Schizosaccharomyces pombe: one gene and its partners. The gene in region 2 interacts genetically with the main gene of each other region. Each region holds a gene or a part of one and is shown on either strand. Other genes may lie near its edges. The genes, in order: mug129, tim18, SPOM_SPCC757.11C and ure6.

What was found.
Region 1: mutations in tim18 (region 2) and mug129 together harm fitness less than expected from each alone (positive genetic interaction), as found in Schizosaccharomyces pombe (one large-scale study listed by BioGRID).
Region 3: mutations in tim18 (region 2) and SPOM_SPCC757.11C together harm fitness more than expected from each alone (negative genetic interaction), as found in Schizosaccharomyces pombe (one large-scale study listed by BioGRID).
Region 4: mutations in tim18 (region 2) and ure6 together harm fitness less than expected from each alone (positive genetic interaction), as found in Schizosaccharomyces pombe (one large-scale study listed by BioGRID).

The regions. Positions count from the first base shown.
Region 1 is NC_003424.3:3,655,657-3,659,672, forward strand, and holds mug129 (protein mug129), read right to left. Parts: upstream 2,020-4,016; 5' UTR 1,702-2,019; coding exon 793-1,701; 3' UTR 541-792; downstream 1-540. Other genes in the region: rps5 (40S ribosomal protein uS7), read left to right, coding at 1-315; rrp14 (ribosome biogenesis protein Rrp14-N), read right to left, coding at 2,811-3,176, 3,222-3,305, 3,351-3,365; iron-sensor Fra2, read left to right, coding at 3,476-3,535, 3,615-3,764, 3,871-3,915. UniProt on the Schizosaccharomyces pombe protein: Has a role in meiosis.
Region 2 is NC_003423.3:2,034,343-2,037,165, reverse strand, and holds tim18 (TIM22 inner membrane protein import complex and succinate dehydrogenase (SDH) anchor subunit Tim18), read right to left. Parts: upstream 1,107-2,823; 5' UTR 1,067-1,106; coding exon 587-1,066; downstream 1-586. Other genes in the region: SPOM_SPBC29A3.21 (uncharacterized protein), read right to left, coding at 1-74; MPP complex beta subunit Qcr1, read left to right, coding at 2,323-2,823. UniProt on the Schizosaccharomyces pombe protein: Membrane-anchoring subunit of succinate dehydrogenase (SDH) that is involved in complex II of the mitochondrial electron transport chain and is responsible for transferring electrons from succinate to ubiquinone (coenzyme Q).
Region 3 is NC_003421.2:68,695-73,300, reverse strand, and holds SPOM_SPCC757.11C (transporter), read left to right. Parts: upstream 1-2,032; 5' UTR 2,033-2,244; coding exon 2,245-3,660; 3' UTR 3,661-4,065; downstream 4,066-4,606. Other genes in the region: vph2 (V-ATPase assembly protein), read right to left, coding at 4,066-4,284, 4,348-4,606.
Region 4 is NC_003424.3:5,120,243-5,123,951, forward strand, and holds ure6 (urease accessory protein ure6), read right to left. Parts: upstream 1,857-3,709; 5' UTR 1,339-1,856; coding exon 631-1,338; downstream 1-630. Other genes in the region: pex3 (peroxin-3 peroxisome import protein), read left to right, coding at 1-91, 199-634.

The DNA of each region.
Region 1 (4,016 bases), on a different chromosome or scaffold from region 2:
GCTCTCTTGACCGACCAAAACCCTCTCCAAGTTTTGGTTGATGCCGTTGCTGCCTGTGGTCCTCGTGAAGACTCCACTCGTATTGGTAGTGCTGGTACTGTTCGTCGTCAAGCCGTTGATGTTTCTCCTCTTCGTCGTGTCAACCAAGCTCTTGCTCTTATCACTATCGGTGCTCGTGAGGCTGCTTTCCGTAACGTCAAGTCCATTTCTGAATGCTTGGCTGAAGAAATCATCAATGCTGCTAAGGGCTCTTCCAACTCTTACGCCATCAAGAAGAAGGATGAGCTTGAGCGTGTTGCCAAGAGTAACCGTTAAAGACTTATTTGTATTAATGGATTTTGTTACTCCCTTGCATTTAATCTTTGTGCTTTAACTTCTCGTAGTAAAAGGCAATGTGTAGTTAGTACATTTTTGCATTTTTATTATGATTGCCACTTATCGTTGTCAATACTAGATCAAAATTGCGGATAAATATAGGTAAAAGTTGTGATACTATACTGATAATGTACATTGATCGATAGGATGAACAAAACGCGTTTACAATGTAAAATATTTTTATTATGTAATTTCACGCAGCTGTAAAAAATGGCTTTTCTGAATTATTAAACCATGTCTAATTGAATAGCATACAATTAAATAGGAGCACTTTTTTGGTGCTTAAAATCATCGATGATGTAAAGATAGTATAAACAAGCAGTAACGAGAGGATGTCTAGTTTGTAGACTCGAAAAAAAAACCACATTGTTTTTTCAAATAGTATTGTCAAAAGATACTTCGTGAAGGAGAAGTACATTAATTTAAAGTGCCAAGATCTTCGTTCAACAGGCAAAGCTTCCCTTCGGTAACTTGATTTTTCATTATTTCTATTGATGTTAAAAAATCAACTTGCTCGTTTAATAAATAAATGTAGTGATTTCTGGGTAAAACGCATGTAATATATATTCTTTGAATCCAACTATTACAATGCTCATCGGGGGATTCTTGTATTAATGCTTTGAACTTCCCTAGTAGAATATCAACATCTGAGCGTGATGATATAGTCGTAATTTCAGAGGCTTTTCGTAATTGAGGATTGGCGACACTGTCAACTGGCTGCTGATTAGGTGAAGGAGAAACCGTAGCAGCTTTTTGAAAATATGTCGAAGTGAATAAAGACCAAGCATAGTGAAAGGACTCCTTATTATTCATTGGTAAAAAATGGAAAGCGGGATGCCCAAGTTTTGATAAAGCTGCCCTTTTTCGAAAAGCTAGTTGAGCCTCCGTACACGTACCATCATCTTCTATATTTGCCATATTGTCACTAAGCCTTTGCCAAAACAGTTCTGATGGATGGGTGTATTTGTACAAGTAAGAACCAATGGTAAATGTCACTATGGTCTGTGCTTCCTCCGTCTTCGACATGGATCGACCATCACCATAGTATACATCATGAAATAAATCATTGTAGGAGTTAATAAAATACGTTAAAGCTTCTCGACGATCTTTTGACATATTCTGTCTAACTGAAAGTTGCTGTACAAACTGTCGCAAAGAATCTATTGTCCACTCTATGCATAAGCTAGATCTTGATTTTTCACTTGCTAGCTCGTTCAATGGTGAAACAACGCTTAAATGCGCATGTCCTACATTAGGAGGTTTCTTCTTATGCTCATCCTTATCTTCTTCGGGGCTCTTGCAGCAAGTTAGGATTCTCCATAGCATCACAAGTTTGATTATTTGGACAGATAAGTTTAAAATTGGAAAACAAAACGACCGCGCGAGATATAAAAAATCAACAATAAAAAAAAGATTAAAAAAATAAAAAACAAAAACAGAACTATCTAATACTCAGAGGTTGCCGTAGTAAGGGTTTTATTGATGATGACAAACGACGGGTTATGTTAGCAAGGTGAGCAGTATTGACAATTAAAATCAATTAATAATTAATAGCTTGCCTAATGAAAAACATTAAAAGAATAAACAGCGGAAAGGAAAGAGATATAATGCGATATTGAAATGATAGACGGTGCATGCAGTCGTAGTAAACTGAGGATGCACTACTGATGAGTCAAGTCAAATGATACTAGTAGTATATATAAACTCATACACACTAAAATACTATAGTAAGTACATTGAGTATGACTACAGAGCATCTATTGAAGCACTAATGATAATACTAGAAACAAATTGTCTGCTCAATTCATTTTGCTTGTATCTTCTTATACTAAAACAAAAACTTTCATATACAAACAAAAAACCATGGGACGTCTCAAGGCGTTGCTCTTGTAAACTCTAAGAATACATTTGACGATCCACTTCATCAAACGTTACAAGATTTACTAAATAAGCAATCCAACTTTTCATATGTTAAACTGCTTAGTGAAGGAAAAATAAACAGCAGAAGCGAAATAAAATCTGAAACATACATTTACACTTATAAAGATAAGTAGAAGGCTATAATATTACGCGTTTGTCCTTTAAAATCATTTTTGCAGGAAATCATCAATGCGTGCATTGGAAACCTGTGAGGTATGCTGCCTTGATGCCTCAAAACTAACGTTAACAATGGTAGGACGATACAAAAAATAAGACCAAAGAATATTTAAATAAGAATTATACTAAATCGAACTGCAATAAAATAAAAGCCCGCTCCCAACCGTATCCGTCCATCCTTGAATTTTTTAACCAACTTGCGAAAGACAAAAGAAATAATTTTCTCAAAAAAATAGTACTTTTTTAATCCTCTATTATCCAGAACCTTTGTATTAACGTTTTAGTTTTTTGTCAGGGTTTGCCTCTTTTGATGAATTTACTCTTTAAGGCAACAAAGCTTAGAAACCAGCACGAGGAGATGCCTTGTGTTTCTTCTTTTGAACCTTGCTTTTTCCTGATCCCTTTTGAGAATCCTTTTCATTCTCGACAGGACGCTTATTTTGTCGTTTTTGATTCAAGTCACCGGCTTTCCTCTTCTCACGCAAATCCTGAATCTTTGATGCTAGTTTACCTCTGATCTGTGACATGCTTTCAGCATGACGATCTGAAACATCTGTATCATCACTCATAGTCGAAGACTGTTCCCACTTTGAAGATTTTTGACTATCATCGTCCGCATCGTTAACAAGACCATCCAAGCTAAATTTCATTTTTCGGCGTTCTTTCTTCTCCTCTAGCGTAGATTTTTTCTGTTTCCATTGATTCTAAATTGAACAGTTAAACATAATTATTCCAAATATCTCACATACCGCTGTATGCTCGCGATAGTAGAGCTTTGCAGGGATATAACTTAAAAGCTCTTCGAACCCGTCATTCCAAGCATTAATCCTTTCCTAATATACTCAATTAATATATAATACTTAATGTCTATGTCTTACTTCGACTTCTGTCATCTTTTTAAGGGTTTTAGAGATTTTGACAGGAGAACACCTAGTTGGTTGAAAGCGAATACACATCTTGAAAAGAACCATAACATAACTTCAATCGACAACGTTTATAAAACATGGTAAATGCACAACAACTTGAGCTTTTGATACAAAATACATTAGAACCTACCCACATTGTACGTTGAGCAAAATTTTTATTTTTATTTTTTGGTTTCACATTACTTTAAGCAAACCATTTTACTGATACTTATATAGGAGATCCAAGATATGTCTGGAGGATGTGGCCAGAACTTCGAAGTAATCATTGTTTCCCCTCTGTTTGAAGGGAAAAGCACGCTAGCTCGTCACCGTCTTGTGAATCACAAACTTCAAGAGGTGATCAAGGATATCCATGCCTTTACTCAGGTTCGTACTCTAAGTTTCAGGCATATAAGATAGAAAAAAGAAGAAGGAATCTGAAAAAAAAAAATGCTTTCAACTATTCTTAATCAGTTACTAACTTTAAATGCAGAAATGTTATAGTCCGGCACAATGGGAAGCTCTTCAAGCAAAATAATACCACATATTCTAATGCTTTCTCTTTTACTTCCTTTCTATTTTCGTGACAGCTCTTCAAAGCAATTGGCATACTTTTAATGTACAAATTACTTTCTTTAA
Region 2 (2,823 bases):
GACACTTCGGTAAAGCAAAATACAACAGTATGGCTAAGAACGTTATGTAAATATCGAAAATTGTAACGCAACATTCGATAAATGAGATTAAAACGGTAAACGTTAGAGCATGTCTTCTAATACCTTATCAAAGAATAAGGGAACGAAGCGTACATGGGTAAATTGTTGACCCATTCTAAACGATAAATAATAAATGGGACACCCAATAAAATAATTCAATGGATTTTGTCTTGGAAGAATTATTAATTCAAGTCGACATAAGGACCTTAACAAGAGCTGCCACAAACTTGAATAGTCTTCTAACCACTCCCACTAGAAAAATTATCGTTGAAGGTAAACATAAACATACTGTGCAAGCGCTAAACAGATTTACACAGATAAATTGAGAGGATCAATCAAGCCAGAAATCAAGAAAAGAGCAAAGATCAACTGCAGAATATCAATTGGCAGTTTTGGGGTTTGAACTGGTAAGTTTCAAGCCCAAAACTTACTAGATGACGGATTAAGGAGAATAAAAAAGAAAAAGGAAAGGAATAATCATTATGAAAAAATAAGTGGGGTTATATGGGTTTGCATGGAAAGAAGCTTAAGATTTCCAAAGCTTTTTAATACCCTCCGTAAGGCCAATATCATTCGTGTTGAACTCATAGACGCCAATAAGTGTAAGAACAGTACATCCACGTAAGATCCAGTGCATCAAAGGAGATAACTTCTTAAATCTTCTTGCAGGGAAGTAGTCAATCACACAAGATTCAAACCCCAAGTGGGCATGCGTAATCAAGGTGCAAGCCAATGCAGCGTCCATTAAGGGATGAGAAGTTCCGGTGAACAAAGGGATCATGACTTGAGGAACCATGGCAATAGCAATAATTCTTTCAAAGTCCCAATGATAGCTTCCGTGGAGCTTACTGTGGTGAGGGAAAACAGCAGCATCATTAACAGTTCCCTTAATGGTCTGAGGGGGAGGAGGGAAAATTTTCGCAACACTGGTTGTGCTAAAAGATTTAACTGCAAAAAGAAGACGTCCTTGACGAAGTGCTCCAAGTCCTAAACGTGTTTGTAACATATTGTTTGTAAACCAAGAAAAGCTGGTGGTGGTAGTAGGTGAGTTCGTATTGGCGGATCTTGTGTCCACATTATTGGCCATTCAACAGCTCGATGTGTTGAGCTTGGAGTGGCCGGAAATAGGCGATGAGAACCTAAATCTATCTACTCATAAACGAAAAATTGTATAACATAGAGTAAAGACTAGAAATTTAAATAGATATAATAGATTAATAAGTTTATTCAGAAGAATCTCCGGTCTTTAAGGTCGTTTCAAAACCTGGTTATTACTTTTTATAATAATATTATTCACTGCTGAAAACGAATTACCTTCTACATATAATATTACATGGGTTTTGTGGTGAGTTTGAATATCTATTATAATATTACACAGTACCAAAAGTTACTGCAGTTTCAAAAAAAATTTTACGGAAAGCACTACATTGTGAAAAAACAATAATCTACTGTAAATCTTTTTACTTAATAATATAATATAGATAAAGCTATAGAAATTTACTTGTAGCAATTATGCTAATATAAAGGTGCTGCATTGGCTTAAAAAAAGGTTAGAGAAACGGTTTTAAGAGGATGAAAATTTTATTTAAATTAATATCATTTATATAAAAAACTATTCTCATAAAAAGAAACCATCAAGCTACTCAATAGTCGATGTATAACAATGCTTGATTCGGTGCTAGTCAAAATTCTATAGTTGGACTGTTATTTTTTTAAAAATGTATTAACCGAAATATTGTAATGGAAATCATGGAAAAGAGAATTTCGTTAAGTATAAATAACCTTTTAATGTAGATGAATACGAACTTAACCTGATGAAGTGTCTTACCCTGTCTGATTCAATGTCATATAGATTCTTTTCAATATACCGATGAAACAATATATCCCCTACATAGTTTTTTACCAATGAGATTCTCCATGTTAAGTAGAGATATATTATATCATGAACTGGATTGTACGGTCATTCGTTTCCTTCCTTTATAGCAAATTGCGCACAGGGCAAAGACTAGGCAATCCGAAAGTTTCTGTTTGAATGGTCAACTTCTTATTTTTCTCTACATGGAAATTCTAGTAAGGGATTCAAGGATTGCTAGTTTTCTTTTTTTATTAAATGGGATCAATTGGTCATTTGCCGAAATTCGAACTTGGGACCTCGATAACACGTATTACGCTACACCTCTACGGAATACCTTCTTGCTACCTACTTACCCTTTACCATCCACAGAATCCCACCCAACCAAAGGAGCTTGAATTGATATTACTATGCTGAGGCTTCAGAATTTGCCAAAGCTAGTACGTCGTTTTGCGACTACTGCTTTACCAAAAACAGAAACCACTACTTTAAAAAATGGGCTTACAGTTGCTACGGAACATCATCCGTATGCCCAAACAGCGACCGTCCTTGTGGGCGTTGATGCTGGCTCAAGAGCTGAGACGGCAAAAAATAATGGCGCTGCTCACTTTTTGGAACATTTGGCGTTCAAAGGAACGAAAAATCGCTCCCAAAAAGCATTGGAATTGGAATTTGAAAATACTGGTGCACATTTGAACGCATACACCTCTCGTGAACAAACCGTTTATTATGCACATGCGTTCAAAAACGCTGTACCTAATGCAGTTGCCGTTTTGGCCGATATCCTGACAAATTCAAGCATTTCTGCCTCGGCGGTTGAGCGTGAACGCCAAGTCATCTTAAGAGAGCAAGAAGAGGTTGACAAAATGGCCGATGAAGTAGTCTTTGATCATTTACATGCTACCGCTTAT
Region 3 (4,606 bases), on a different chromosome or scaffold from region 2:
AACAAACAAAAAAAACAAAAAACAAAAGAAGGCAACAAGGAAAGGCTCGTGTCGAAGAGGAAAATATGGGAAACAAAATCAAACGCCGGGCGATATATTCTCGGTTTGGCAAGTGGGAATGTAAATGCAAAAAAAAAAACGATTAAAAAAAGAAAAGGAAAAGTTAATCAATATGGTATGCGATGAGGAAATTATTTGACAAGTTGATTGAGCACACTCATACAAAACCAAAAAATGGGGAAACCAAGAAAAATAGAAATGAAATGCAAAATCAAAAAGACCAAAAATTTGGCACGCAAAAGAAACCAAAAAAACGAAACAAAAAAGATAGAAAAAGAAAAGTTATGAAGAACGGGTATCAAACCCTTTAGATATAGCCTACTAAAGGGAGGATATTAGAAAAATATGCAAAATGTTAGATGTGTAGAGGTTCAGTAGTGTAGCGAGGATCTTTTATTTATATGACTGCGAGCACGAATGTAAACAAATATCGCCATGGCAGCTAGGTAACAACCACGAGGCCGATCGCTGCTTCGGCGGATTTAGGCTGACGTAAGATGAGACTGTTTGTTACCGATAGCCCTTTTTCCAGATGCGCTCGCATTGGTTCTCAAGTGGGGCTTTGAATAAGCCACGTTTGGCGGCTGTAAATACACATAAAAAGGTGTAAGAACAAGCGTTAAACTTGTTTACCGATTATTAATAATAGGTCGATAAACAAAGATTTTAACTTTAGGAACGAGGACATGGGAAAGGGAAGAAGAGATGAGGAAACATTGCGATGTTCAGGAAAGGAAGATGAGGTCACTAGTAAATAAACAATAGAACAAGAATAATAAATAAATAAATATATGATTACAAAGTAATCACAAGCGCGGACTTGGTGAGTACAAAGCAAATTGTCATTCTATTCTATTTTGGCCTATAAATTCAAAAAAACAATATCTAGGTAGGATGTTTGAGCGTCGTATGAAACATTGCTGCAAAAACTTGATATGCTGAATAACGATATTTATGAGGCGCACAGACGATCCTCTTTCATAGCCACCTACGTGTGCAAGAGAAAAGGTTGTGGGCAGTGTGCACTAGGCGAAATATGCAAAACTTGGATTTTCATCATACATAGTACAATGTAAGAGAGATTGTAAAGCATGTTTGAGAACTCATTATGCCAAAAAACTAGTGTAACCAAGTATTGATTAGAAGGAACTGAGCAGGATGTTTAAGTTAAAAGAATCATAGTATTTGTAGGGGCTGGTGTACTGCAAGGAACCAATCTGCTATCTCACATAGCTTGTCTTTCAACATCGCCATTGTCAAGTTTCCTTCTTCATCCGTTGAATAACGCTTTATGCCCTATTCTCATTAAACGATTTACGATACATTTTTTCCATGCATACACTGGTTATCATAGACAGACGGATAGTAGCCAAAATGATCGACCCGAACAGTCATGAGTCTTTCCGTCCCGAACAGTCTGTAAATCTTCAAGTACTGAAGCGCATCCATATCTTGAGCAAACGCTTACTGCCAACGGACAAATAGACAGGTGATCTTGCCGGCTGGCCCTGAAAAAAAGCATAAAATATTCGACCGCTCAAATGGGCTTATCTGCCAAACACACTTTGCAAGACATTTCTATTCGATACTTATCATCATATCCTATCATAATTCTATTCTCCTTCTACCATCATGTCTACCGGTTTCTACGTTTGCATTTATCTTTGCGTTTTTGTACTTGCCATAACTGAATTGTACTATTTGCTCTCGCTGATTATTTCCTATTTATACAAGTAATTAATAATTTAAAAAAGAACAAATAAATAAACTGCCCACACCAGGAATCGAACCTGGGTCGCATCGGCCACAACGATGAGTCTTAACCACTGGACCATGTGAGCTAGTACAGTAGCCGTACAACTAATGACTGATATATGGTAAAATACTCCGCACTACGGAAAGCTTAATTAGGGAAGCACCGTGGATATCCTATTTTGGGAATTCTTATCCATTCTATACGATGATGAAAATTATCGGATATCATCAACTTAAAAAAATTGATCTCATATAAAATAAACGAGTCATGCTATTCTATTGAAATTCCACTTTCTTCCTTTACTCACACCAAAATATTTGAAAACAACAAAGAATTTCTCTTTGTTTTCTCGTTCCTTCTATACCTTATTCCACAGGCCAGTTTTCGTAGTAGAGCAGGTTTTTGAATGGATCCATTGAGTCTATATTATGGAGCAACAAAGTAATTTAGAAAAAGACCTCTCGGTCTCATCCTTTCTTGATGAAAAGGAAAAGTCGGGATACAAGCAATCTGTAAGATTAGTTTCCAATGACCCTTCTGCCTCACCGGCTGCTACGCATAAACCACCGTTCATCAGTGCGGCTTTGATGCTGTTAAATAACACAATTCTTTGCATTTCATTCACCATTGTCGTTCCTACGTCCGAGAGATTTGTCCAACATCTGGGGGGAGGAAATGGTTTGTCCGGTGTAATTATCGGATTGCCCACAATCACTGCCCTTGTGTTGCTGTATCCCATGTTGAGATTCTCGACTCCGAAAGCTGCCAAGGGATATACGATTTATAGAAGACCATATACAATGTCGTGTATAAGCTGCATTATTGGTCATATCATGTATGCACTCGCAGATAAAGCCAAAAGTGTGGCCTTGATTCTTGTGAGTCGTATTTTTACGGGTGTTGCGTGTACCATGTTTTTATACCACAAGCGCTATTTCACAGATAAAGCCTTGATCAGCATCAAATATAGAACGTCGATGGGTGTGGTCAACTCAGTCATGGCAACGCTTGGTTTGACAGCTGGTCCATTCATCGGAGGATTAATGGCCAAGTCTTCAATGAAGTCTCAAAGCGATATCTGGAATGAATATACTTCGGGTAACTGGCTAATGGCTTTCATTTGGGTAGGCTTGTTTTTGTTTGGCTTTGCTTGTTTCCGGGAGGTTTTGAGCCCGCAAACGGACGTAAAGGAAGAAGTAGTCGAAGAGAAGCATGTCATTAATGATGTCAAACAGGATACCAATTCAAAACTAGGATTTGTGGGGTGTCTTGTTATTTTCGTTGTCGCTTTCTCTGGCTTCTCTGCTTACTTTCTATTAAATGCATACCAAGCATCTGTTCCAATTTACACTTCTATGCTTTATAATTATTCATCCTTCCAAGCAGGTAACTTCCTTTCTTTGGCTGGAATTATCAACGTACCCTTGCTTTTAATATTTTCCTATTTGACGCGTTACTTGACTGACAGAGATATCATATTGTTGGGTTGTTGTTTAAACATCGTATGCATGGTTATTCATATAACTATTCACTATACAGGCAAGGAATTCGTACAACCTTACTTTATTATTTACACCCTTGTTTTTTTTGGATCTTCTATTGCTAATTCCCCTTCGGTCTCTTTATTGACAAAGGTTTTACATCCTAAGTACCACCTGATAGGTAACGTCGCTGTGCAAATATCAATTTCCTTATCCGACACAGTTGGTGCTATCTTTGGCGGTGCATTTCGCTCGTTCTCACCTGTTGTTTTTTTTGCGGTATGCTTAATATTAAACGTTATGTCTGTGCTTGCACTATTGATTATATGGAAGAAACTTAAGGTCAAGTTGCGCCTTGCATAATTCACTGGTAACTCAATGGTTAGGTTGCTCTCTATTTTTTTTTTTTTTTTTAATTTTTTTACAAGGGGGGGTTGATTTGTTGTTTATTTATAAATTTGTAAGTTGTGTTCCTTACAAATAAATCTAATACCAAATGGCTAATTAAATTGAAATAATGTTGCTAAATCTTTAATTATAATGAAATTAATTGATGAAATATACGTTAAAAGCCAAATGAGTTCGAATTTTTTATCTTAAATACTTTTTATTTTTTATCTATAGTGTGCCCATAGGTGCCTGCCCTTCAATTAACACATAGAGAGGTATGCCATTATGATCAATTAGACAAACAACCTATAAAAATCATCTACAGGAAAACATCAAAGGTACTTTCGTTAATAAAACATCTAAAAATTAAGAATATAATTATTGGTTCTTTTTTTCCTTCAAAGATGGAATGGCTCCCAGTTCTATAGCTAGCTGCTCATTTGACTGTAGAACAGGGTCATTTGTTGTCCATGTATATATTATTTGTCGAGTATGATTCTTTGAAGTTCGTACGGGTTGTGCAGATAGATAGCGGACATAAAGAAACGTATCTGCTACTAGAACCAAGATTGCTGAAAACGCACATAGCGCAATTTTCTAAATAATATTAAGTCAATACAAAGGTCTCCCAGGAACAAAACGAAAGTTTTTAATTCATACCTTTTCAATAGATAAAGATGAAGTGCAGTACCAAACAGCGGTCACCGTTCCTACTACTGTGAAGAGTATATTGATTATAGCGCTGATTTGGTTTTTCATTAGTCGTAACTCTGATTTTTTTTCTCTCTCAGGGTCCATGGATACGCCTGCCATTGATGGAAGCAGAGGAATACCATCATATAGCTCTTTCTCCTTTAAGATAGAAGTAGTTGTATTGTCTTGAGTATGGCTGTTTTCATCAATTTCGCCCAAGAAGACA
Region 4 (3,709 bases), on a different chromosome or scaffold from region 2:
TTTTTACGGGAATTGCGTATATCTTGTTGAATAACCAACTTGATGAGTTGATTCAACAAGTACAATTAGCTGTTACTTTGACTTTTGAAGAGTATGTGTTGATAGTGCGTTGGCGGTAAATGTTTGAATCCGATTGGCGTTAATATATATGTGTTTTATCTTTCATCTTAATTTTTTAGTGCTAACACTTCGAACTAGGGTATCGCCGACGGATATAGTGGACCGCAAATTGATTGAAGCATTGACGACTCGTGTGGTCGAAGTATTTGTAAACAACTATCAGTTTTCTATCGACGGAAACAAAGAGGTACTGTTAGCTGAAATCCCGAAACAGTACATAGTTACAGGAAATTTGCTATATCGTGTTTTGGAACTAGAGGATTTTGCAACCCAAATGGATGCATCGATCGTTATGAAGAATGAGCTGATCGCTTTGAATGAACACATGTTGACTTATTTACCTAGCATACCTCAGGAAGGTATTCGTTTGGCAAAAATTTTGACGACGTTTACTAAAATTTCCGAAAACGTATTCGAAGCACCCTTCCAAGAGCAATTTTTTCAATCTCTACAAATGGTTTCAGATGTAAATCGCTACATGGCAATCGTATTTTCCAGTTTTGATGATTGTTAACTATTAAATATTCTACTATATAACAAACTGTGTCTACCCTGCCAAAGGTCCAGCGTATACCATGACTGAGCAGTGTCCTCTAGTTGCATGTTCAAAGCTAGTTGCGACGAATCTCTAAGTAAACTTTCGGTTTGAGGATGAGCCAAAGTGGAAACGTACTGGAAGGAGGTCAAAACATCTAAGCGAACAGCTGCTGAGCAAATCGATTTTGCATGCCCCAATAAGAACAGATAACATGTCCTTTCTAACGATAATCCCAAGGCTCTACATACCACACCCCAAACCACTGGGAAATGACCGAGTGCCTTTTTACTACGAACTCTTCTTTCGTACTCATCCAAGTATTTGAAGACATCGGTTGATGTAACGAAAAAGGAGAGTGATTTTGTCCAAATATTTAACAAAGATTTACCCTGCATGGTGGAGACCTTTTGGGCAATTGTGCATGTCTGTGTGCTTTCAAAAAAGTCTTCGATTTCGGAATATTGTTGCGGTGACTCCCAAGCTGCTTTGACAGTTGGCAAATTGGTATGTAGCACTGAATTGAGGGACAATGGTAAAAAGTTGAAAAATGCATTGACGTCTCTCACCTGCTGATGAGACAAATACGACTCTAACCCATACGAATAAGAAAAAGATGACAGAGGAAACGCAGTGTCTGAAAGAATTAGCGACAAGTGTGTTTCCGTTTGCGAATCAGTCATGATTGTAATGAAATTAGAAAGTGAAAACAAAAAACCACCAACTATAATCAGTAGTAGTAAGGTTGGATCTAAGTGTTTTGGAGAATAGAAAAAAAAGCTATCCCTGGGTGTTTACTTTTGCGAAATGTGTGTGCATATCTAGTATATAAAACGCTTTTTAGTATTCAAAAAAAGAGAAGAAAAGAGGAGTTTAGGAAGTTGTGAAAGTAAACTTTTAAACCCGATTCTCTCAGTAATTATCGAGCCTACAACTCAACGAAACGGTGCGACAAGAATAAAAAATGATGGAACGCTATTTTTTGGTATGTCTATACAGCATCAAAAGGTTGAGAAAACGGTTTTTAACCGCCTGGTATTTGGATGATAATTTGTAAAATACGAGAAAAGGTATCGTAGAAAAGAAAATGCAAAATGAACGACAAGAGGTGGTTAAATATTAAATATGAATCGTGTGTATGGTCAAATGAAGGACTAAGCAGAGAAAAATTTTTGCACTCATGCAGATCCAGTTTCTTCTTATCATCAAAGATCCTGCACCTGCAGTATACAATCAATCCATCGTTACTGGAAACAATATAGGGATGAAAATCATGCAACTCCTTATTATTGACATTCACTAGTGATCACTATTTAATAAATAAACATTTAAAAATAATGGAAAGGGCAAACAAGAGTCTATGAGAAAGGGAAGAGAAGCATGGATGAGCTTTTCATTTTCCAAGTCAATGATGCAAAGATTTTTTACTGAACATAGGACGAACGAATGTAAAAATTACACAACGTTTAGATAGTCCATTATAGTGGTGTTATTAAGTTCTACAATGGTACTTTCAAAATAACGATTTCTAAGTATGAGTGCTAAGTGAATTAGCAAAATAAAGCACGAGTGTGGGAATTGTAATTTGGGAAACACCTTTTACTGCAGTAATTACAACTTTCTTCATAAATGAATGTACTGAAAAGAGGATACAAAGGAAGATGTTTGGAAGCATTAAATTTACTGACCTCAGTTATTTCAGGAAAGGAAAAGCAAGTTTTGATAACTGTAAAACAATAACATATAGTATACAAAGTAAAGTAGAAAAGGCGCTGCTCAATTAAGTAATTCCTACTGGACTTTCTCACGAGACAATGCTTTAAGCATACTTTATAATATAAATTGCAATGCTTTTATTAATTTTAATACAGATGAGCTAATCTATTTAAATGACTGTAATAGACTTTCACTTCAGTTTTTACTATGAATACATATATAATGTTTTGCAATGAAATAAAAAAGGCAAATAAATGTCAGCATTAGAAACAGTAAATAAAAATTAAAAATTGTTTAAAAAAAAAGCAAACGAAGGAATTCATGAATGTTTACAACAACCCCACGAAAAATTCACATGGAAAGTGACAAATTTGTGCATGGAACAACACAGTGAGCTCATCCACAGTGAATAAAAAGAAAGTCCAAATAAAGGTTATTTTCGTTATAATACAAAGATGTCGTAAAGAACGACGATCAAAGAAAAACAAGTGAGCAAAAAGGAAACTCTAAAAAAAAGAGAGAGAGAGAGAGAGAAACTCTCCGAGTATGTGTGTGTGTATGTTTGAGTCTCTTTTGTGTATGCGAGAAGAGAAAGACAGCAGGAAAATAAAGAAGAAATAGAAATAGAAATAAAAAGTCAAAACTATTTATTGTAGCTCAATGAAAGCCAGTATCTCACGCTGACCAAAAAAAAAATGAAAAGAGAAAGAGAGCAGAAAAAAAAAAAAAAAAGTTATTGAAAACAAGAAACAATCAAAACCATCTATTTCAAGATGACATGTATGACAAAGAACGCTAGTCAAAAAAAAGGCAATTCATACAAAGAAATAAAAAAAAAAAGAGAGAGAGAAAACAAAGGACTCCTATAATCATAAAGCAAGATTACCAACAATGGACAGAGATGGATAAAGAAAACCAATGGTGGAACAAAGACAAAAAAAAAAGAAAAAGTGGAACAAAACAAAATGCGAATCAAAGAAATTGAACAGAAAATTGAGCAAAAAAAACTTTAGTTCTGAGACAAACAAACAAAAATTTTCATCTTCTTTAACTTTTTCTTTCTTTTTTTTTTCTTTTTTCTTTTATGTTTTTATTTCTTCCATCCATTATTGATGTCTCGTTTGAATCCCTTTCTTTCACCCACCCCTCTCTTCCTGCAGTCTTTTTCGTCATGCCATTACCCCATCTTTTCAGGTAGCATCGACTCAGCCTTGTGACTCCAAGTGTGGGGAAGCGAAGGCGGAGAAAAAAGGGATTAGGAAGGGTGTCGATCATGACGCAATGCCATAACATCTCTGATGCACAACACCGTATTATAGACTGACTAAGCTTGCCGCG